7 linked regions of the Kluyveromyces lactis genome follow. The protein of the gene in region 1 purifies or fractionates together with the protein of each later gene. This does not show direct contact. Links are inferred from orthologs where the notes say so. Each region holds a gene or a part of one and is shown in the gene's direction. Other genes may lie near its edges.

Region 1 (3,579 bases):
ATGTAAACCGATTGTCAACTTATCTGTTTCTGTGGTATTGAAAAAAGTATTCAAAGCCAGAATTGAATAATCCCCTGTGTTCGAAACATCATCTAGACCCATCACTTTAGTTTGTGTTCTAGTGAGTTTCTTCTTCAACGCTGGAGAACCTGGTTCAGAAAATGAAGAGTCAATGGTAGCCTCACTATATATTGGATGCCTTTCTTGGAACTTCGTTAATGCAATAGAAACGCAGTTTTTGGCTGTAGCAGACCATTGGTGAATGCTTCCCAAGTTTGAGATCTTTGAAAAGTCTAAGCAACCTTTCAAAACCAAATCTGTGTCATTAAGTTTAGTGTTAGCAACTTTGAAGTACAGGGTTACGAAGTTTTTGAACAATTCTAAAAACTCAGAGTCCCCACTTACAAGAGACCCATCCAAATGGTTACAAATAGCTTCTAAAACTCTTTCAATCAAACCAACAATAGTTGGATCATTGTTAAAATTGTTGTTGTTCAACACTAAAGTCATAATGTGGATGAAATCTTTGATGAAAATATTCATGTTTTCATTACAATTCTCGACGATTTTAGCCAGTAGCTCTAGAGTGACAGAGACATTACCGGAACGTCTTCTGTTCAAATCCGTTGTCGACCTCTTCACAAGGTAACTGCTGACCTTTTCCAATTTTGGACGTCTCGAATTAACATAATATAACAAGTACGAAGTCTCTGACCCTTTTGGCTTCTTATCGGGAGTTCGGCCTGGTGGATAACACTGATTCACCAATTTCTGGTGCTTAGGGGTGAAGAGAAAGCCCATTGACACGGATCGTTGGAGTCTTTTGGATGGGTTTTATCGTCGAACCATCAATAGTGTTGGCGATTTCAATATAGTATGCAATTTCTAAGTTTAAAAAATGTCTTCGAACAAAAAACCCTTTTCCAGTTTTTATTGCGTAATAGAGAGCCAATCATTATATAAACAAGGGAACTAGAAAAACTATAGCTGAAAAAGAACATAATAATGTTAATGATGATCATTATTTAATAAGAGAAGAACAACATATACTTTCTCATTATCTGTCATGTGTTTTCTGAAAGAATTTCAGAGTTTGTTGTATTCTAATAAAATATAGGTAGTTTAAAGACCGAAGTACTGACTGGAGGAAGTCACAAAAGAAACCAGTATCCAGCATTGCTGAAATAATACGAAAAAGGTACCTATGCTCTTGCGAGTAAAGCAATATGTAAACTATGTGTTCGGATACAGTTCCCTCTTTATTCGCTGACATTGTTTTATTTCTTTATAACACTGTGTAAATCTAGATAATCCAATTTTGGGATTGGATTGAAAATAAAATTGACATATACTTGGTGGAAACATAGGAAACTAATTAATAATAGTATCAGCTAAAGCTGTAACGTTGGTTCAAAGGGAAGTTAATCAAAGGCGGTAACCACGTACGATGGCTCCTGTTCCGATTTATGTCAAAGGTGGTATTTGGACGAACCTTGAGGATCAAATATTAAAGGCGGCTGTTCAAAAATATGGAACACATGCATGGAGTAAAGTAGCTTCGCTTCTACAGAAGAAGAATGCCAGGCAATGTCAATCTCGTTGGAATGAATTTTTGAATCCCAGTCTAAACTTCAAACCATTCAGCCAGCAGGAAGATGATAAACTACTAGATTTAGCGAAAAGAATTCCAAACCAATGGAAAAGCATCGGAGAAATGATGGGTAGACCTGCTCAAACATGTATCGACAGATATAATATCCTCCTGGCGATTGATAAGGATGATTTAGAGCTTGCAGCAACTACAGGGGTACAGATCGGTGAGATCAACCCAAATAACGAAAGCTTACCAGCCAAGGCTGATAAAGATGAGCTACTTGACGAGGAGAGAGAAATGTTGGCGGAAGCTCGTGCCAGGCTATTAAACACTCAGGGTAAAAAGGCTACTCGTAAGATAAGAGAACGTATGCTAGAAGAAAGTAAGCGTGTTGCATTCTTACAGAAGCGTAGAGAGTTGAAACAAGCGGGCGTTGATAGTAAAATCAAAGCTCCCAGGAAGAAATATTCTTCGCAGATGGATTACAACGAGGATATTGCGTATGAACAGCAACCACTACCGGGTATATACGATACCTCAAAGGAGGATGAACAGACTGAGAAGCTACTCAAGAGTTTTGAGAAATTGGTAGAAAGGAAAGGTTTACTTGACAGGAAATCTGATGAAAAGAAAACCATACCACAAAAGAGAAGGCAAGGCGAACAAATAACGTCATCAGTAACAAAATTAGATTCTGTACTAACTGATGAGTACAAGAAACCTAAACTTGAGCTTACTCCTGCTACTTTAAAAGGATCAAAACGGAAGATAAACAAAACAACATCTATACTTCATTTATTTGAATCATTGCCTTCTCCTAAGAACGATTTTGAAATTGTATTGGATGATTTAGATGAAGAAATGGAATCCACTGATGCTTTTAATACTGAAAGTTCGTATGTTAATGGTAAATATCCCCTAGAAGCCTTAATATCTTCCACGGAACATCAATCGGAAAACAAGGCAATGGAAATAATGGAATACATACCGACAGTATTCCAAATAAAAACAGAATTACAGGTACCCAGTCCGATAGTAGATCCAAAGAATGAAATTGACCGTGAATTGAATCGTATAATCTCAGCAAAGGAGAATGGTAACCCCATTTACAATTCCACGGAAGTAAACAATTACTTAGAAGAGATCATTAATTCTGCATCCACCACCGAAGTGCCCAGCACTGTCTTACATCCCAAGTTGGAAACTAGCTTAAAAACTATAACACCGGCTACGGAGCACGAACTGCTCGGCATGGAACGAAAAGTGCATGAACTGCGAACAGCGCTTGAGGATTCCGTCAAGTCTCACAGAGAGGCTGTTTCACAACTTTCACAAGATTTTGAAGAAAAACTACATCCGACAGTGTCAGGCTTAGCATACCAATACTACACTGACTACATGAAGTACAGGAACGACCATAAGACTATGCAAGAAGAGACACAATCTCTTGCGGAACAGATCAAACTTGCCCAGCGTAGTCAATGATTACCCGGACCCTTCTTTTTGAGTCTTCCTTCCATAATCATGAAATTTTCAAATTATGAACTTAAAGATGAAAAGATTTACGAAATTGCAAACTTTAAGAACAATATGAGACAGTTAGCAATTGCTCTGTGTGGACATAACAATTCTCCCCTTTATTTCTACTGGAACTCTTTCGAAGCCATCACAAAGCAAATACTAATTCCCGGGCCACGATGATCAGGTACACAGAAGAAGAACTTTTACAATTAAGACCAACCGAACCAGTTAAACCAAACTTCGACGTTGATGAATTCAACGCTATAATTGAAAAAGTGAAAGAAATCCAAGAAGCACATGAAGAAGAATTTTCTCACTTCAGAAGAAGATCTTCTCACCACCATGCTAAACCAAAATTCAAGCATTTGAAACCAAAAATTACTACCGATGAGGAAGGATGGTCTACACTAGAAACTGCTCCAGCGGTCAGAAGAAAGTCTGTGGCTGAAGAAGAAGAACCAACC
Region 2 (2,474 bases), on another chromosome or scaffold:
ATGACGCCTCAGGAAACAATGCCAACGCTCCAAAGGGACCTACGATCTCTTTGACACCGGCACCAAACGAAAAACACAAAAAGAGTACAAACAACTGCTGTTAGGAATTCTAAACGTGTATTATGGTCATTCCTTATAGGGTGTTTATATAGAAAGTATAAGCCCCGGAAAGAAAAAGGGAAGCAGAATTATCATCGACTGGGACATTTATCCCGATTAAGTTAGACACTTGTTTTATGTATATAACATTGACTGCCATAATTATGCAAATACTAGCTGTTTGGAAGGACATCCTGAAACTTCTTAACTGCAAAATACCTTCTCAGTTCATTGCGTCGTATCCATTGTTCTTTTAAATGAAACACTACCATAATGTCAAACATGGAGATTTAGTGAAACTACAAACTTTTATATGCGCTTGAGTAAATTTTTAATTCAAATTTCTATTTGGGTTCAGTCGGACTAGCAGGGGCAGGGGCAGGAGCAGCTGGATCCTTGAACTCTTCGTCATTTTCTTCATCGTCTTCATCATCATCATCATCCTTGCCAACCTCACCATTTTTTTCCAATTTCTCGGCAGTCTTTTTATAATCAATAATCTTACCACGAGTTCTCCTACCAGTAGTTATAATATTGGAACTATCGATTTCTGAAAGGTCGTCTTCTTCTTCATCTTCTTTTACCATCATTTGATCTAATTTTTCGTCATCGACTTCACTTTCACTATCTTCTTCCTTGTTAGCACCAGAAGTAGCAGATGCCTTGTCTTCTTGAGCAATTTTTTCATCCAAATCATCATAGTTTCTTCTTCTTCTCTTCTTTTTAGATTTCTTATCGTTGGCATCAGCGGTAGAAGCAAGCTCACTTTCAGCACTTCTTTTAGCTTGTGAAGCAACGTTGGAAGAGTCAGGCTCTTCTGCACCTATTTGAAATTCTTGCTTATCCTTAATTTCTTCAGCCATATTTGCAAACTTTGTATCTGTTGATATGATTAGTGTGCTGATGTTCGAGGAGTACGACCTAGGCTCACGCAATGCTTTTTTTGATCTAAAGATGCTTACCAGTATTTGTTTCCTTTTCGCATCTTGCGAACCAAATATAATTCATATTATCTCAAATCCCAAAGAAACATAATTTTCCACGTGATCATTTTTTTTCATAGCCGCATAGTGGATGAATTCTAACTATCATGTTGTATCGAAAATTAAAACATTAACTAGTTTCACGATCAATGAGTAACTTGCGTTGGTCCTATAAAGAATCACTGCTACGGACCGCTTTTTTGTGCATGATATAAGGATACCTCTTACAATCGAGTTTACAGTCTTTTTCACTTTCTTTGTTCACCAAGAAGAATAGTTATATCTCTAAGCATATCATACAAAAGATACAAGGACGATGTCGCAAGTTGAAGTTAAAAAGAAGGAAACGAAGCTATCAGATTTGATAGATTATAGAATACGAGTCGCTACCCATGACGGAAGGGTTTATATTGGCCAACTTATGGCTTTTGATGCATATATGAACCTTGTAATGGGAGATTGTGTAGAGGAACGCATGCCTCATAAACAAATCATAGAAGTACTTAAAAGTGGAGGAAACTTGTCAAGCAATGTGCAAGTCGAAAGAAGGACTTTTGGACTAATAATTTTACGGGGTGAGCATGTGTTGAGTACCTCGGTTGAGTCACCTCCCCAACTCTCTAAGAAGGAACGAATCGAAGTCCAGAAGAAGAATGCAAAAAAATTAGATAATGCGAAAAAGGCTCGTCAAGGGAAGACTTCTAACAAGATGAACGTTGGAACGAATGGATCTAATATAACTTCAACTAACTCAGAAAGTTCAAATAGAGTTACGAAGCCAAGTCATAAACCTATCAATACGAATTCTGGAGCTCCCAGTAGGTTTAATTCTAATAGTCAGGTACGCCCCAGCCGGTTCCAAGCCCCTCCAGGCTTCAAAAAAAGAAACTAAACCAGCGAACAACTTGTCATACTTATTGATATAAAAAAAATTGTTTTGGTGCTACGATCACCGATCTTAGCTATAATTATCCGAGACATGTTGATAGATATGTCTTTAGTTACCTCTTACGTACACGCAGAGGACTTTGGATATCCCACTGTAACGACTAGAACAAGAAGATATAGAATTTATCTAGCTTTATCCAGTGTAATGATATCCCTGTACTGCGCAACGTTAAAAGCCTGTGCGAAATATGATTATCCACCTCATTCCCTTTTCAACCACCCCACCAAATGCCTATACGAAACCTCCAGATATACCCCATGACCCCACCATAGCCCTGCGGACAAAAGAAATGTTATGTGTTAAATATGGCTTCCAACTGGACAATCATGGTGCGGAATATCTCTCAGCTGAGAACGGGCAAGAATTAGAGTTTGCAAGTTTCGCAAAAACAACAAATATATCGCATGCCACGATATCATGAGTGTGTGTTTTTTTTATAGGAA
Region 3 (2,896 bases), on another chromosome or scaffold:
TCGAAAAGTAAAAGGTCTAGTCGGCAAGACCGTAAACCAAAGGCAAGTCAACAGCATAAAATCTCCAACACAGGTAAACAGTCGAACACTAAAGACTTGCCATTAGCTGAAAGGAGAAAATACATCTGTAAGATTTGCTCCAGAGGGTTCACTACATCAGGTCACCTTGCCCGTCACAACAGAATTCATACCGGAGAGAAGCGTCATCAATGTCAGTTCCCCGGTTGTAATCAACGATTCTCAAGGCACGATAATTATATACAACATTACAGAACCCATTTCAAGAATAACCCAATGCCCGAGGAACAACAGCCTTCAATAAATACGCGGAGCTTGATACCATGACGCTTCCAAAGGATACAGATTAAAACCAATTAAACAAAAAAAATCCTCATAAAGTTTTCTCCCTTGTGTATTATACCCAAACGTGTACTGCTTGCATCATCACCACAGCAAATACTCTCTCTATGTTTTGTTGTAGTGATCCATCATTCTTACTTGAAATTTGGACCATTAAAATCTTCCATGGTATCCTCTTTTTAGGTAATTACCAACCTTAAGTTTAGTTAAACCTCACATATAATTAGACTAAGAAATTTGACCTCTCGTCACTATGAATTTGCCTTTGCTCTCTTTATATCTTACGTATCAAAAACGTTTTGGCATTTAGTTCTCTAAATAGTTTTTGTGTAATTATATAACACGCTTTGCCCTAATTCATGGCTGATGTTGAACCTTCACAATCTATATGGTCCATACAAAATTGTACCGTTTCTTGAGCTTGGTGTGCCAAATAAGCACTAGAGCATATATTGTTACCCGGATATTTCATTATGTAGTGTATGGGTGTCATTTGTTAATTTCAGGCCCAAGAAAATTTTTACCAACAGGTATAAAAGAGAGAGACCTCCTGTCACTGTAAGTTAGACTCAAGGTTACTTGATGATAACCAGTTTTTTACTTTTATTATACTCAGTAGCAGTTCCGAAAGACACCAAGGATACAAATATCGAGAGGCCTCGATATATTTTCATTGCTCACTGCGATCAATGGAAATCTTACCTTCTTCTAATCTATATACTTGCAACTAAGAGAAAGTGTCGAGAAAGCAGAATACAGTAAACTTTTTATGATGATACACCTAACAACAACAACATGAATTTCTTCAACCGATCAACTCATGAGGAATCCTTATTTTGACATAGCTTTTTAACCCTGATCCTTTTACATTCTGCTAGATCGCACTTTCTCTAATATTCTATGTGCGTATTCTTATAACTCTTAGTAAAGCTCATCTCTCTTTTGTAATTAAGTATCCGCTGCATATTGCAAGGTAATACTTTCACTATGGAAAGAATGAAAAGAAATTTGAAAAAAAATAGTACCAATGCGATGAGATGTTATCAAAGAAATCTGATTAATATAAGTCGAGTTCGTTGATCTTGTCATCGGTGGCACTGCCAGCAGAGCACAACGAGCAGGTGAACATGAGTCAGGATACTGGGGAGTTGAAGATTTGCGAACGGTGTTTGCCATTAGGGGAAAACACCCCAACTTTGATAAGATACCCCAATGGTAGAGAATGTAAGTTTTGTACCTTCCCATTCGATTCATACTCGTACACAATAAACCACACAACTTTTCATACCATATGCTGTCCTAAATGTGCTACGAAGAATCTGATATGTCAAGTTTGTTTGAACGACTTCGAACATGGAATACCGATGCATTTAAGGAATTCGATGAAACAATTGTTGAACGAGAATGCGGATTCAGTGATTCCGAAGAATGATATGATGAAAAGGTTCATTGGACTAAGCTCAAAACAAGTAGCACCGTTGAATATAGATAAATTGAAACAAGCAGAATCCATTCGGAAGTGGAGAGTTCGAGAACTGCCGTTTAACTCCAATGTCAACGATACCAAGGATACATTTTTCCTATACAATATAGACCCTAATCTGACAGAGTCTCAGATTGTTTCCCAGCTAATAGTCGCTACTAATAATAATTTGGAGCGTGAGAATACGTCATTGAAATTGAATTCGAAACTTAGGATCGCAACTTTAACATTCAAACAAGATCCGGATTTGTGGACACAAAAATTAATATCGATACTACCAAAGTTTAAAGTGGGACCCACCGTGGAGAAATGTTACCTTCTGATGAAAGGAAATAGAATCCATATAACATCTTGTCTATCAGATGATTTTGATGTCAATAATGTGAACTCAGAACCAGAATGGGATCGTTTGGTACAGAAAATTATTACAAAAGATGCCAAAATAATAGGTACGGAACCTGGTAAGAAAAAGGGCAAACCAAAATCGGGATCTAAATCCGATTTACATACTAAGTCTAAGTCTTCACGTCGCAGACACACACTGGATTTGTGACGGAGGGTTCAATTGAAATTTTTCTCAAGAAACACAATTTTGTTGTGACAGCCTTACGTGTGGTGTAAATACAGGCTGTCATTCTTTTATGTCACTTGAAAGTCGTATTTTAATATAAATATAAGCATACGGTCGATTGTGTATCTGAAATCACCAATGCATTCATAAAATATTTGCTATTTTCCAGAGCTCTCTGTGTGACCATCAATTCGGTTTTGCTTTTTCCGAAGACTTTCTAACATCAAATATTATTACATTCGCTACTTATGAATTCACTTGGAGTTTTGTTTTACTCTTTTCTATTCGCATTTAATCAATTGTACGAAATGGTTCTTTGGCCAATGTTCTCAGCTGAGCTCATTGGCAGTCCCACATATGCGTACGAAGATGTAGACAGTTTCCAAATGCATGTTCTAGACTCGCCGACTCAGATGCCACAAGAAGCAGTCCAAAAATCTGGTTTTAATGTACGTTTCCTATCCATTGCTTTGATATTCGTT
Region 4 (2,233 bases), on another chromosome or scaffold:
AGCTTTAATGGCATTCGTTCAACAAGCGGAGTTTCTAATGCCCGTTTTGTTTGCGGCCATGGACACTCTAATAGCGTATCAATTGATGCAAATAGCTAAGATATATCAACGCCAATTGCAAATTCCTAGTTATATTCCAGGTGTGGTTTATGCAGTGAACCCTTTGGTACTTTTATCATGTGTCTCACAATCGACATGTCTATTTGTGAACCTTTCCATTTCTACTTCTTTACTATTTGCGTTATCTAGACAGTTCTCACTGTCAGCCATATGCATTGCGTTGGCTGGTTATTTATCACCTTACGCTTATCTACTGTTGATCCCATTGGCAGGAATCTGTGGATCAAATTCTTTCGGCCTTGTTGTCAAGTGTACATTGGTATCGATTGTTTTGCAGTTGATCAGTTTCAAGTTAAATAACGATAACTGGAACTATTTGACTTCAACATACTGGATATTGATTACTTTCAGTAAGATAAGGCCAAATCTAGGGTTGTGGTGGTATTTCTTTATTGAAATGTTCGAATTTTTCATCCCATTTTTCAAATCTGTGTTCAACATATTTGTTGTTTCATTTATCCCACCTTTCACTATTAGATTCAATCAGCAATCGTTTTACGCATTTGTTCTATGTCTAGGTTGGATTACGCTCACCAAATCATACCCAACGTTAGGTGACGGAGGGTTTTTCTTAAGTTTTATCCCATTTTTCAAACCGATCTTTGGGTATCTAAGATATCCAGTCATATCAACCCTTTTATTCATTCATGCCATCATTTTGTCACCAATCTTCTACTACCTATGGATTGGATTAGGCTCCGGTAATAGTAACTTTTTCTATGCCATTTCTTTGGTTTATGCGTTAGCCATCTCGTCAGTGATTGTGGATTTGACGTGGGCCATGTTAAGAATTGAATACGATTCAGGTAAACCAAACCTTTCATTAAAACTGACTCAAATTTGAATGAACCCTGTTCCTTCTGTTGGAAGAAACATATCGTATTGTCATTATTTAATATATATCTAAGTATGACTTACCCAGTGCATGGCATAAAAACTTTTGAAAACTGTCCGGACTACTTTGGTTTGTTTTATTTGTTCCCTTGGTAGGGCATCTAATATTTCCATGCCATATTGAAAAACATGAAAATACAGTATTGCAAAAAGATAGACAACGAAAACATTACGTAGCAACCAACAGACGTAATAAAACCTTTAACAGATTCTCGAATTATATCGTGTAATCGATACATATCAGAACACCCGCGCATTAACGTATTGAAATGGTAAGTTTTCTTGTTCCATACTTTTTTGGTCGCAGCTAGGACGATTATGTCCATCTGCGATCGATGAATCCACAGATTTTGTCACCTTACTAACCAATTTAAACGTTGCAGGATCCAGAGGAATTCAAACCAATTAACCCTAAACCCTTTTTACATCAATTGATAGACAAAGATGTGCTGGTGACACTCAAATTCAATAAAATACAATATAAAGGAAGACTTGTATCGGTAGATACATATTTCAATCTACAACTAACAGATGCGGAAGAGATCATAAATGATGTCTCAAGTGGGAAAGTTGGGGACATTTTCATCAGATGTAATAACGTGCTATACGTAGGAGAGGATGTGAACAAGCAAAGTGATCAACCCCCTACGCCGACTGGAACAACAGAGAAATCTGACGATAAAGAGGAAAATGGAGAACTCGCAGAAGAAGCGAATTAATATAGCACTAGTCTGAATATTATTGAAGCAAACAAGGAAACATCGGAATAATTATGGATTCACTGTATAGCTTTCCTCAGTTGTAATAGAATTAGGGAACTGCTTATCTTAATAAAGGGAATATTAGTATTAGTATAATTAATGATAGTATAGTTTATGTAGGTTTTACAATTCAAAGGCTCATTCTAAAAAAATCTCTAGAGATTAATACCTTATGTTTTTCATTCCAAGAAGGTCTCGTTCACGGTGTAACAGCTGTTCCAGCCACCATGGATTTCTTATTGCTTACTAGTTTTCCAGTTGAGTTGGGGTAGTGATTTCCAAAAAAAATGCAAAAATGAAACGGACAGGAATTGAACCTGCAACCCTTCGATTGCAATTTTGTTTCCATAGAAATTTCCAGGATTTAACTGGAGTCGAAAGCTCTACCATTGAGCCACCGCTTCATTCTTAAGGTTTTTATCTATAACATCTTCTATATGAAATGGAGTGGCAGCATT
Region 5 (4,070 bases), on another chromosome or scaffold:
TATATTTACAAATAAGAACAATACCTATTTATCGATACTACCTGAAACAAAACAGTAAAATAAAAAACATTCAACAAGTGTATTCTTAGTTACTATCACCCCACAATTGGCGCCTAGCTTGGGCTTCATTCCTGCGAATAAAACGCTTTGTCTGTTTCTCTCTCTGTGTATTGTCACCTTTCATACAGTGGAAAACCTTTAAATGATGTTTGAAAATGTTTAACTAAAATACAATTGACAAAAAGAACATACACTTACGGTGGCAAACCTTTATCAGGGAGGAAACAGGGAAATATAGGGTCTATCGACAGTGAAAAGAGTCAAAGTTTATACTAAATCTCCCAATGGATGTTCTATTAGGTATAAGAGTCAAGGATTCGGTGATATTGGCCTCTTCAAAGGCTGTAACTAGGGGTATTTCAATTTTGAAAGATTCAGATGACAAGACCAGACAATTACTCCCTCACACACTAATGTCGTTCTCTGGTGAAGCTGGTGATACAGTACAGTTTGCTGAATATATCCAGGCTAATATGCAATTGTATTTGATTAGAGAAAATTATGAATTGTCTCCTCATGCGGCATCGAGTTTTGTTAGAACAGAATTGGCTAAATCCCTAAGATCGAGGAAACCATTCCAAGTTAACGTATTAATCGGTGGTTATGATACCAAGAATGAGAAAGCAGAGTTGTACCAGATAGATTATCTAGGTACTAAGGTAGAATTACCATACGCTGCCCACGGTTACGCTGGTTTCTACACATTCTCTCTATTGGATCGTCATTACAGAGAGGATTTAACAGTAGATGAAGCCTTAGGTTTATTGAAGCAATGTGTACAAGAGCTAGAGCTAAGAATGCCAGTTGATTTCAAGGGGGTTATTGTAAAAATCGTGGATAAGGATGGTGTTAGGGTCGTTGACGACTTTTAGTGCAATCTTTCTAACCAGAATCAAGTACATACACATATTTACATCTTTTGTATAAACAAAACTCAAAGTAATATCTTATCTCAGAAATACCCAAGAGTCAAAAGCATTTTAAGTTTGGAGGTGTCGCTGGTAGATTAGCGTGTATCGATTTGTCTTCTCTCTCTTTTTGACGTTGATCAATATACAATTTTGAGATTTATTGACTTTATTGTAAACCATCTTATCTCATCTCATCTCAACAAAACATGAAAAAAAGGATAGGCAACATCACTGCAACAGCTTCGTCTGATCTGTCCTTTCTAGTACCTACCTAAGTTAAGGTTGCTGCTGCGAATAGCATGTCTGATGTCAAGAAGGAGATATGCAAAGTACTCGGTTTAGATGATGAGATAGTCGCTGATTTTATCATCAACATAAATAAGAACTGTACCACGAAGAATGAGTTTAAGAAAAAACTGTTGGAGATGGATCAGGATTTGAGTGCCGCTGTTGTGTCCGACATTTATGATGTGGTGAACAAGACTGCTGGAAGCACAGCAGCCACAAGGGTTAAGACTCTTCTTGCTGAGCAGCTTGATGTTCACGATGATGTTGTCACCAATTTCATTATGGACATTTGCAGTAAGAGCGAAACGTTGCTCAAATTCCGGGCAAAATTGAAAGAAATGGAGGCTGGTGTATCGGATAGTCTAGCTCTTCGTATTTTCAACATTGTTCATTCCTCAAATGTGGCTGTCAAAACGGAAATCGAGGATACAAAGTCTGCACTTTCCTTACCCAACACTACTGTTTCTTGGGAAGGAATCGAAGAAAAAGCTTCCAACAAATCAAGATTTAGGAAGAATGAAACGGTTGATCCAGAACCTGTGCTTGATAAAGTGTATCCTGGAAAGGTACAGAACGTCACAAAATTCGGATGTTTTGTGAGAATTTTTGGGGTAAGAAATACTAATGTCGACGGTCTTGTGCATGTATCGGAACTTAGTTCATCGCATGTTGATAAGCCAGAAGACGTGGTACACAGAAACCAAGATGTGTTCGTGAAAGTTATAAAGATACAGAATAATGGCAAAATATCACTTGCTATGAAAGGCATTGATCAGAGTACTGGAATGGAAGCGGCAACTCGGGGAAGAACCAAAGAAAAGGTGATTCCTAAGCGAAAATTAACTTCACCAGAACGATGGGAAATAAGACAACTTATCTCAAGTGGTGCCGCTTCAATCGAAGACTATCCTGAGCTAAAAGATGACTATAATATAAGTCAACCTACGAACTCTGAAGCAGATGGCACCAACGAACAAAAAGAAGAAGAAGAACTTGAAGTTGAGATAAATGTCGATGATGAGCCCAAATTTCTAAAAGGACAAGTTAAACCAGACAGAAAATACGAATTACCATCTATAACTAAGGTTCCAAAGGGATCGTTGAATAGATCAGCCATGGTAGGTTCATACACGATGAAAGAACATAGAGAAGAGAAGCTTAAACGGAAGAAAGAGGTAAAAAAACAGCTTAACAAAAGTAAACAATTGGCTGATCCCAGTAGTAGTAAAGTTCTGTCTAATTCAGAGTTTGATGCAAGGCAATTAGTTGCTACAGCTTGGGAAAGGAGCAGAATGAAAGAGCGTGTATCCTACGGAAAAAGGACATCTCTTCCAATCAAAGAACAGAGGGAAAGATTACCAGTGTATCGAATGCGTCAACAACTTATCGACGCAGTTATTAAGAATCAGTTCTTAGTTATTGTAGGGGAAACAGGCTCAGGTAAAACAACTCAATTAACTCAGTATCTGGATGAAGAAGGCCTGAGTAACAAGGGAATGATTGGATGTACCCAACCTCGGAGAGTTGCGGCAGTTTCTGTGGCCAAAAGAGTTGCCGAAGAAATGGGATGTAACGTCGGTGAAGAAGTCGGTTACACAATTAGATTTGAAGACGAGACCTCATCAAGAACCAGAATCAAATACTTAACCGATGGTATGATGCAAAGAGAAGCGTTACTGGATCCCTTGATGTCCCGTTACTCTGTTATTCTTCTTGACGAAGCTCATGAAAGAACAGTAGCTACTGATGTTCTTTTCGCGCTATTGAAGAAAGCGGCCTTGCAAAGACCTGATTTAAAGGTCATTATTACTTCTGCCACCTTAGATTCCGATAAATTTTCGAAATACTTCATGAACTGCCCGGTAATCGAAATCCCAGGGAAAACTTTCCCCGTAGAAGTATTATACTCAAGCAAACCTCAAATGGACTACATAGAAAGTGCTCTTGACACAACTATGGATATACATATCAACGAGCCCCAGGGTGATGTTTTGGTCTTTCTAACTGGTCAAGAAGAAATTGACACTTGTTGTGAGATATTGTACGAAAGAGTGAAAGCTTTGGACGGCACAATTCCAGAACTTATTATTTTACCAGTTTATTCGGCACTTCCTAGTGAAATTCAATCAAGAATTTTCGAGCCTACTCCGAAGGGCTCTAGGAAAGTGATATTTGCCACGAATATTGCTGAAACATCCATCACCATTGATGGGGTTTACTATGTCATCGATCCAGGCTTTTCTAAAATAAATACGTACAATCCACGAGTTGGTATGGAACAACTTCTCGTGTCTCCAATTTCGCAAGCCCAAGCCAATCAGAGAAAGGGAAGAGCAGGTAGAACAGGCCCTGGCAAATGTTTTAGGCTTTATACCGAATCTGCTTTTAAAAATGAAATGCTTCCTAATACTGTCCCAGAAATTCAAAGGCAGAATTTAGAGCATACAATATTGATGCTTAAAGCCATGGGTATCAATGATCTTTTGAACTTCGAGTTCATGGATCCACCTCCCAAGTCCTTCATGGTATCTGCGCTCGAAGAACTTTTCAATTTGCAAGCCTTAGACGAAGAAGGGTTTTTAACAACATTGGGGAAAAGAATGTCGCAGTTTCCAATGGAACCTGGGCTCTCCAAAACATTGCTTGCATCTGTCACCAATAAGTGCTCTGATGAAATGTTGACAATAGTGGCCATGCTTTCCATTCAGAACGTATTTTATAGACCTAAAGATAAACAACAGGAGGCAGATAACAGAAAGGCAAGGTTCCACCATCCATATGGCGACCATCTAACTCTTTTAAACGTATTCA
Region 6 (3,124 bases), on another chromosome or scaffold:
GTCTTTGATTTAAGGTATGTGCCTGATGGTATGGAAATGGATGATGATCCTCGTGATGAATGTACCTCGCTTCCAAAAAATTACAAGCCGGCACAATTCAGTACAGATGCCCTTCAGCATTCCAAGGTAAAGCTTACATGGGATGAAACTCCTGCAGACCGTGTGGAAATATCTAAAAGAGCATTCACTCAAAAAGAAATTGAAGAAATGGACTTTAAAGCTTATTTAGCCTCCGATAGTGAAGAATCTGAAGTTGAGCATGATGATCAAGTTAAAAATAAACTCAAGGCTTTAGTAATGGATTCCGTAAAAGTGGGGCAAAAGTCACTATTTGATCAAAAGGAAGATGAAGACGATAATGAGGCTGATATGGAAATAACTTTCACTCCAGGCCTGGATGAGTCTGGCCAACAAGATACCAATGATAACGAAGAGGAAAGCACCATTGATAAGATTAGACGTAAAGAAAAAGAAAGACGTAAGAAGAGAAAGGACAGAGTCAAGGAGCTTAAGAAGGAATCAGAAGCCAAATTAAAGGAGAACCTTAAGAAGAAGAAAGATACTTCTCACAGCATCGATGACGATAAGAAAAAGGGAGAGTTAGAGCTCTTAATGCTAGATGAAAATGAGGGTGAATCAACAATTAACAACAAGGCACACTTCAACATGAATGAGATTCTCAAATCTGAGAAGGAAAAATCCAAAAAGGCCAAGTATCAAAACAAGGAGAAGATTGTGGATGATGAATTCACTCCAGACGTTAATGATCCAAGATTTAAAGAGGTCTTTGAAGATCACGATTTCGCGATTGATCCTACTCAACCAGAGTTCAAGAAGACACCAGCTATGGAGAAGATTTTAAAGGAACGTACAGTACGTTCAAGCAAAAAATCTAGGGGCAAAAAGCGTAACCACGAAATTGCAAATACTGAACATAGTAAAGACATAAATAAGATCGGCGGTTTAGTTGAAAAACTTAAGGCCAAGAACAAAAGAACAAAACACTAATTTGCAAACTTGTGGACACTTTATATCAACCCAAAGACGTCCACATCTTATATGTATATATTCAGCATTTGATTAAAGCATAAATACATCATTTCACTTAATCATGCGACTGTATCATGGCATGGTCTGTAACTTTAAGTCATTTCCTTATTTATCCAGATTTGTACGTCATATTCTGTGTGTGAACAAAAAGAAAAAGTGCACATTATCACATTATATGAAATAGGTTCATCTTTCTAAAGATTATCTAAAATTGTAGGTAATACACGGACAAACCGATAAACTTACTAGATAGACTCTGCCACTGCCATAATATCCAGGGAATAATGGGGCTGGTACAGGGTTATGAAAGTGAGAGTAGTGATGATGGCTCATCTGTAGCTGTGCCTAAGAGATCGTTAAAAACATCAAAGGCTGAATTGAAGTCCAAAAGACTTAGGAGGAACGGGAAAGGACCATGGGCAAAATGGCAAGGATCTAGTGACGATGAGATCGAACAATTATCAAAGGATTCAAATGCTTCTAATTCCTTAGATTTAGGTGGTGATGAGGATGCAGTGGCATCACAATCACTTGAAAGAACGAAATTTGTAGGCAGTACTGAAAAAGACTATCTGGGAAGATGCATTTTACACCCCCCAGTAGATATTCCATTAGAATTCAAGAAAGAACCACTATCATTCAGGTGCTTCCTTCCGAAAACCAAGATAGCAGAATACTATGGGCATAAGAATGGTACTACATCATTACGATTCATACCGAAAACAGGACATCTCTTACTTTCAGGCGGTAACGACAACATAATAAAACTATGGGACTTTTATCATGAGAGAGAACTATTAAGAACGTATGAAGGTCACTCTATGACTATAAAGGATTTGAACTTTACAGATAATGGACATTCTTTTGCCAGTGCATCATTTGATAAATGGGTTAAGATCTGGAACACCGAAAAAGGTATAATTGATAAAAGATTGCGTTTCAACTCTGTACCGAACTGTATTACATTCCACCCAAAAGACAAGAACCAACTAGTGGTAGGATTATCCAACTCCGAAATACGGCACTATGACTTGAGGCTATCAGAAAACCATGGGGAAGTACAGAAATATGATCATCATCAGGGTTCTATTTTGGCACTAAAGTACTTCCCTGATGGTAAGAAGTTAATCTCGTCGTCAGAAGATAAAACGGTCAGAATTTGGGAGAACCGAATCAATATTCCTATTAAACAAATCAGTGGCACAGCACAACATTCTATGCCATGGATCGATATTAATCCACAGGGTCAGTCTTTCTGTACACAAAGTATGGACAACACCATCTATACGTACTCAATGTTACCAAAGTATAAAAGACACCCAAACAAGACATTCAAAGGTCATAATACTACAGGTTATGGTATTCATTTTGCATTTTCTCCTGATGGCCAATACATTGCATCTGGAGACTCTAAAGGTCAGACGTTCATCTGGGATTGGAAAACTACCAAATTGTTAAAGAAATTTAAGCCATTTTCAAATAACCTGCCAGTAACCTGTATTGAATGGAATCCTCAAGAGACAAGTAAGTTATGTTGCGCTGGTAATACCGGAAAAATTGCCATTCTGGACTAATGAAGAATTGAGATTCTTTGAGACATTATTCTTGGTTTCGGCACAACCTTCGATAAGGTTATGTAGATATACTTAATGATTACATATAAATCATGCATAAAAGGAAACGGATTTAGACTTTCTTGCCTGTACTTCACCGATAGCCTCAACGAAATCTTCGTGCTTGATTGTTGATTGAGCGTTTCTTAATGCGATCATACCAGCTTCGACACTAACGGCTTTCAATTGAGCACCATTGAATTCATCTGTAGATCTAGCGAGTTCTTGCCAATTGATAGAATCATCAGTTGTCATTTTTCTGGAATGAATCTGTAGAATTTGAGCTCTTGCATCTTCTGTAGGGAGTGGGAATTCTATTTTTCTATCAAGTCTACCAGATCTTAATAAGGCCGGATCTAGAACATCAACACGATTGGTAGCAGCCAACACCTTAACCCGATCATCAGAGCCAAATCCATCCAATTGATTTAGCAACTCTAACATTGTTCTTTGTACTTCTC
Region 7 (4,025 bases), on another chromosome or scaffold:
TTTGCTATTGGTTATTGATGTTAATTTTCCCACAAAACCGGAAATATTCGCCTTCCTCTCTGATAAATCTTGAAAAAGTACTGAGTATAGTAACTAGCACTGCTTTGTTGTAATCTGATCTTAACCTTATACCGTCTCTGGTTGGTTCGGATGGCAAATTTGCTTTGGTGTAGTAAATTACACTCTAGAGTTCAGCCTTTTATCCTAGAAGAAAACATTTCGTACTTACCAAGTTTTAGCATATGTCATGTTTCCGTTATTATATATTATTAAGGTTTTTCCTGGTGAAAAGGAACGGACACACAGAGAGGAAGAAGAAAAAAATAAACACACACACAGAGCTGATCTGCCAATATGAGTCCACCCGATATCTGTATGCGGCCGATTAATATTTCCCCAGTAACAATGTATAAATCAACGTGTAGAGACAGACAAAGAGTTTTCTCATACTTGCTCCTCTGACCAGAAGAGAAAGTCAAAAAAACCAATACAGAGTGTCTACCAGTCAAGCTATGGCATTTGAATCCTCATACGGTGTTTTTCTTTTCTGAAGAAGAGAAACACCTACTTAGAGTTAGTAGCGTAATACGCCTTGTGCTTTGAACTTGGTGAACCATATTTACGTTTCTGCACCATCAGGTGCACATTTGTGGGGTTACCAAAACGTGATACCGTTTAACGACACCAGTGCCAGAGCCAGTGCCGGTAAGGGAACAAGTAGTATCGAATTACATGCTGATCTCGTAATGGATTAAAACAATGACTGTGTGCCTTTCTTTCTCAACGTACAAGCATGCCTGTACGCTCTCTTCATCGTAAGTTTTTCCGTCCATATGGAGCGATAAACAGCCTTTGCGTATGTTTCTGTGTTTTCTTATTCCGCTTTGAACGAGCACTTCGCTCCTGCTCCAACAGAAGTTTTTCCGAAACAATGTGGAGTCTCATGTCATTCTGGTCACGTGATCGCATCTTTTCGTGTGACGTGATGTCAGGGTAACATGTTGTTGACTTTTTGGGATTTGTTGGTCACGTGTAAGTTTTTGAAATAGTATTTCCTAACTTCTTCATAAGGGCGGCAAAAAACCAAATCTGAAAGTAAACAAAGTAACTAACAACAGCGCACTTCTTGAGTGCAAGTTGACGAACAACACTACTGATTACCATCAGTATACACCTCTGATCATCGTCTGAAGCGTGTGTTTAGTTACCCGCTAACGAAGATCGGATGACTCAGGACTCTGAAGTGTTGCTATGGCACACTGTTTTACAACGACATAGGAACTACGTTCATTCCTGCATCGGTGATTTTACTTTGGATAGATCATCATTAGCGACAGCAGAAGCTGATACAACAAGTGTTAAGGGACCGAGGTCATCGAAGAAGCGGAAGGAACTGCAATTATGTCTAGCTACACAGGATTGTGTCGAATTGTACGATGTTAGCAATGGAACATTGGATGCGTTGGGTAAATGGCCTATAGCAGCTACTATTCTTTCTATGACCAAGTTGAATATGGATAGATGTTCACATACGATTTTGGTGTTGATAACTGATTCTGGGAATTTAACATTTTGGCAGTTTGAGAGGGATTCCGTGAGCGGGAAAGTGTACGTGCGTACTTTGGCAAACGAACCGATTTCCAGATCTGGGATCAGAAGGTTTGTACCTCAATATCAAATGGTTTCGGATCCACAGAGTAGATGTGTATTTTTCAGTGGGATTGAGCGTTCAAAGATGTGCGTGTTGGCTGACTGGCAACGTGGGAAATTGGTTGTTGGTTCTCCTATAGAGATTCAACGAAGTGATAGAATCACTTTGGCATCGGCAGCTTGTGATGTAAGTTTTGATAATCCGGTGAATGCTGCCATAGAGGTAGAATCTGGGACAAATGATTACTATTTGTCTTTTTATACAATGGATTTGGGTCTTAACACGTTGCTACTCCGGAAAGAGCATCTTTTAGAGGATAAATCCATCAATTTCGTTATGCAATGCCCAAATTTACAACAGTATAAGATTAAAACTAGACCGAATGATGAAACTGATCAAGATTCGGTAAATCCATTTGTTATTTGTGGTTATGATGGATACTTGACTCTGATAGACTTAGAAGGCTTTTATGAAGTGTCTGTTCAACTCCCCGTCAGAAAAACTGTTTCGTCAACTAATATCATCAACGGTACTATTCATAAATTGAAGAAAGATTTTTTCATCCTAATGCAGTCTAACCACGGAGATATGTACAAGGTCGGAATTATCCCTGATGAAGAAACTAAGGCGCCAGTTCTTGAAATTGCATACTTTGATACACTCCCCACTTCTGAAGACATCCACATTTTCAAGTCAGGTGCTCTTTTCAACGTATCAGAATTCGGGACCTCTTATTTAACACAGTTCGAAAGTCTTGGTGAAGATCTAGAAAAAATTACATCTTATACCCCGGGAAGGAGATCATTTATTGAAACAGAGTCCACTTTGAAAAACCTATCCATTCTTGACTCCTTAACTTCTTTAAATCCCTTGACGTCATTTCATGCATCAAATTCGACACCACTCACGATATTGGCTGCAGCCAATCAAACTGAGAATCTTGTTAAATTGACTTCTGCGGTTGATTTTGAAGAACTTATATCAACTACATTACCTAGAATACCATCAAAACTTTGGACCGTTAGAATTCCTAAAAACGAAACTCACAGTCTGATATTTCTTTCTATGGAAACCTCAACGACCATCTTGAAGATCCATGAGGGAACTGTCGAAGATTTTGGTGGAGATTCAAACCCATTTATTTTGAACAAACCATCATTGTTTGTTGGCGCTATGGTTCAAAGAAGTATTATTCAAGTTACTCGGGATTGTCTTTTACAAATTATTGAAATGCATGATGGTCCATACACCAAAAAACTTGAATGGTATCCACCAGCTGGTGTTGGCATCGTGACAGCATTTTGTAATGAGACACAGTTAGTTGTCGCTTTAACAAATCATGAAATATGCTATTTTGAAATCATAGAAGATTCGTTAAACGAATTACAGGATCGAGTGGAGATGGATTCTACAGTGAATTCTATTGCATTGCTCGCCGGTCAAAAGTCAGGCTATTGTGTATTAGGATGTGAAGATTCTAGTCTGCAGATTCTCAACTTACAGAGTAAACATCCAGATTTTTTCACTATCTGTGCTATTCAGTCACTAATATCAAAACCGCACTCTCTACTTTTCATGCGGGACACGTCGGATCTTAAGATCCACGTAGGTATGAAAAGTGGTGTTTATCTGTCATCTAAACTCAATATCAATGATGGCACAGTGTTCGATGTACGTACTAGATTTGTCGGAACGAAGCCCGTCCAGGTAAATCTCTTGGACAATATAGATATCAATCACAAAGATGATGATGATGATGAACCTGGAGAAAATGATTCAAAAATAGACGATTTCAAGAAGAAGATTTCGGATTTCACTCCACTAGTGGTATTGAATTCAAGCATATCTTGGGTAACTTACGAAATTGATGATAAAATCACATTACGTCCTTTGAAAACAGATGAGGGGATAACCTTGAAACATATAAATGCTTTTATCACGGATGATATCAAGCGCAACGGCTGCTGTTCCATAACCAGCAAAGGGCAACTCCTAATCGGCAAATTAGATAACTTTTTGTCCTGGAGTAACTGGTTCAATGAGAAAAAGTATACCCTTGTTAATGACGAACTTAAAAACGCTGGCAATGAAGAAGAGGATGAAGATGAGGATGAAGATGAGGATGAAGATGCAAGTGAGAAGTACGAAATCGTTGGTTATCAATCACAACGGATCCTTTCAGATACAACGGACAATTCGTTATCATATGTTATTTCAAAGACAGCTAATAAAGAAACCAGTCTATCAGCTATTCGCGATGATAAGCTATTGGCAACAAACAATGGGAATACGGTCGTGATTATTGCTAAAGAGGTCTTTAATGCTGTCTGTAGTTGCAATTTCGGTACAAATGTTAAATATATTGTCATATCTA

What was found.
Region 2: the proteins of CEF1 (region 1) and SMB1 purify together in Saccharomyces cerevisiae (affinity purification with mass spectrometry; 4 studies listed by BioGRID, with this or other methods). This does not show direct contact. The link is inferred for Kluyveromyces lactis from reciprocal best matches to the Saccharomyces cerevisiae genes CEF1 and SMB1.
Region 3: the proteins of CEF1 (region 1) and ECM2 purify together in Saccharomyces cerevisiae (affinity purification with mass spectrometry; 5 studies listed by BioGRID, with this or other methods). This does not show direct contact. The link is inferred for Kluyveromyces lactis from reciprocal best matches to the Saccharomyces cerevisiae genes CEF1 and ECM2.
Region 4: the proteins of CEF1 (region 1) and SMX3 purify together in Saccharomyces cerevisiae (affinity purification with mass spectrometry; 3 studies listed by BioGRID, with this or other methods). This does not show direct contact. The link is inferred for Kluyveromyces lactis from reciprocal best matches to the Saccharomyces cerevisiae genes CEF1 and SMX3.
Region 5: the proteins of CEF1 (region 1) and PRP22 purify together in Saccharomyces cerevisiae (affinity purification with mass spectrometry; 4 studies listed by BioGRID). This does not show direct contact. The link is inferred for Kluyveromyces lactis from reciprocal best matches to the Saccharomyces cerevisiae genes CEF1 and PRP22.
Region 6: the proteins of CEF1 (region 1) and CDC40 purify together in Saccharomyces cerevisiae (affinity purification with mass spectrometry; 5 studies listed by BioGRID, with this or other methods). This does not show direct contact. The link is inferred for Kluyveromyces lactis from reciprocal best matches to the Saccharomyces cerevisiae genes CEF1 and CDC40.
Region 7: the proteins of CEF1 (region 1) and RSE1 purify together in Saccharomyces cerevisiae (affinity purification with mass spectrometry; 4 studies listed by BioGRID). This does not show direct contact. The link is inferred for Kluyveromyces lactis from reciprocal best matches to the Saccharomyces cerevisiae genes CEF1 and RSE1.

The regions. Positions count from the first base shown.
Region 1 is NC_006039.1:634,851-638,429, reverse strand, and holds CEF1 (Cef1p), read left to right. Parts: upstream 1-1,447; coding exon 1,448-3,079; downstream 3,080-3,579. Other genes in the region: EFR3 (Efr3p), read right to left, coding at 1-801; CAF20 (Caf20p), read left to right, coding at 3,292-3,579. UniProt on the Saccharomyces cerevisiae protein: Involved in pre-mRNA splicing and cell cycle control.
Region 2 is NC_006038.1:48,023-50,496, reverse strand, and holds SMB1 (mRNA splicing protein SMB1), read left to right. Parts: upstream 1-1,398; coding exon 1,399-1,974; downstream 1,975-2,474. Other genes in the region: Rab family GTPase YPT31, read left to right, coding at 1-104; CHZ1 (Chz1p), read right to left, coding at 444-962. UniProt on the Saccharomyces cerevisiae protein: Plays a role in pre-mRNA splicing as a core component of the spliceosomal U1, U2, U4 and U5 small nuclear ribonucleoproteins (snRNPs), the building blocks of the spliceosome.
Region 3 is NC_006042.1:1,698,947-1,701,842, reverse strand, and holds ECM2 (Pre-mRNA-splicing factor ECM2), read left to right. Parts: upstream 1-1,487; coding exon 1,488-2,396; downstream 2,397-2,896. Other genes in the region: KLLA0_F18524g (uncharacterized protein), read left to right, coding at 1-345; KLLA0_F18480g (uncharacterized protein), read left to right, coding at 2,663-2,896. UniProt on the Saccharomyces cerevisiae protein: Involved in pre-mRNA splicing. Facilitates the cooperative formation of U2/U6 helix II in association with stem II in the spliceosome. Binds to RNA.
Region 4 is NC_006041.1:436,436-438,668, forward strand, and holds SMX3 (mRNA splicing protein SMX3), read left to right. Parts: upstream 1-1,283; coding exon 1,284-1,286; intron 1,287-1,397; coding exon 1,398-1,733; downstream 1,734-2,233. Other genes in the region: GPI-anchor transamidase subunit GAB1, read left to right, coding at 1-964. UniProt on the Saccharomyces cerevisiae protein: Plays a role in pre-mRNA splicing as a core component of the spliceosomal U1, U2, U4 and U5 small nuclear ribonucleoproteins (snRNPs), the building blocks of the spliceosome.
Region 5 is NC_006038.1:1,021,127-1,025,196, reverse strand, and holds the start of PRP22 (DEAH-box ATP-dependent RNA helicase PRP22), read left to right. Parts: upstream 1-1,270; coding exon 1,271-4,070. Other genes in the region: PRE1 (proteasome core particle subunit beta 4), read left to right, coding at 345-932.
Region 6 is NC_006041.1:1,891,190-1,894,313, forward strand, and holds CDC40 (Cdc40p), read left to right. Parts: upstream 1-1,334; coding exon 1,335-2,624; downstream 2,625-3,124. Other genes in the region: pre-rRNA-processing protein ESF1, read left to right, coding at 1-1,008; proteasome regulatory particle base subunit RPT5, read right to left, coding at 2,715-3,124. UniProt on the Saccharomyces cerevisiae protein: May function in the second step of pre-mRNA splicing. Regulatory protein involved in replication and mitotic spindle formation and/or maintenance. Required for initiation and completion of S-phase and for initiation and completion of DNA replication.
Region 7 is NC_006037.1:720,992-725,016, forward strand, and holds the start of RSE1 (U2 snRNP complex subunit RSE1), read left to right. Parts: upstream 1-1,225; coding exon 1,226-4,025. UniProt on the Saccharomyces cerevisiae protein: Involved in G2/M transition. Required for pre-mRNA splicing and endoplasmic reticulum (ER) to Golgi secretion pathway. U2 snRNPs associated protein required for the pre-spliceosome assembly.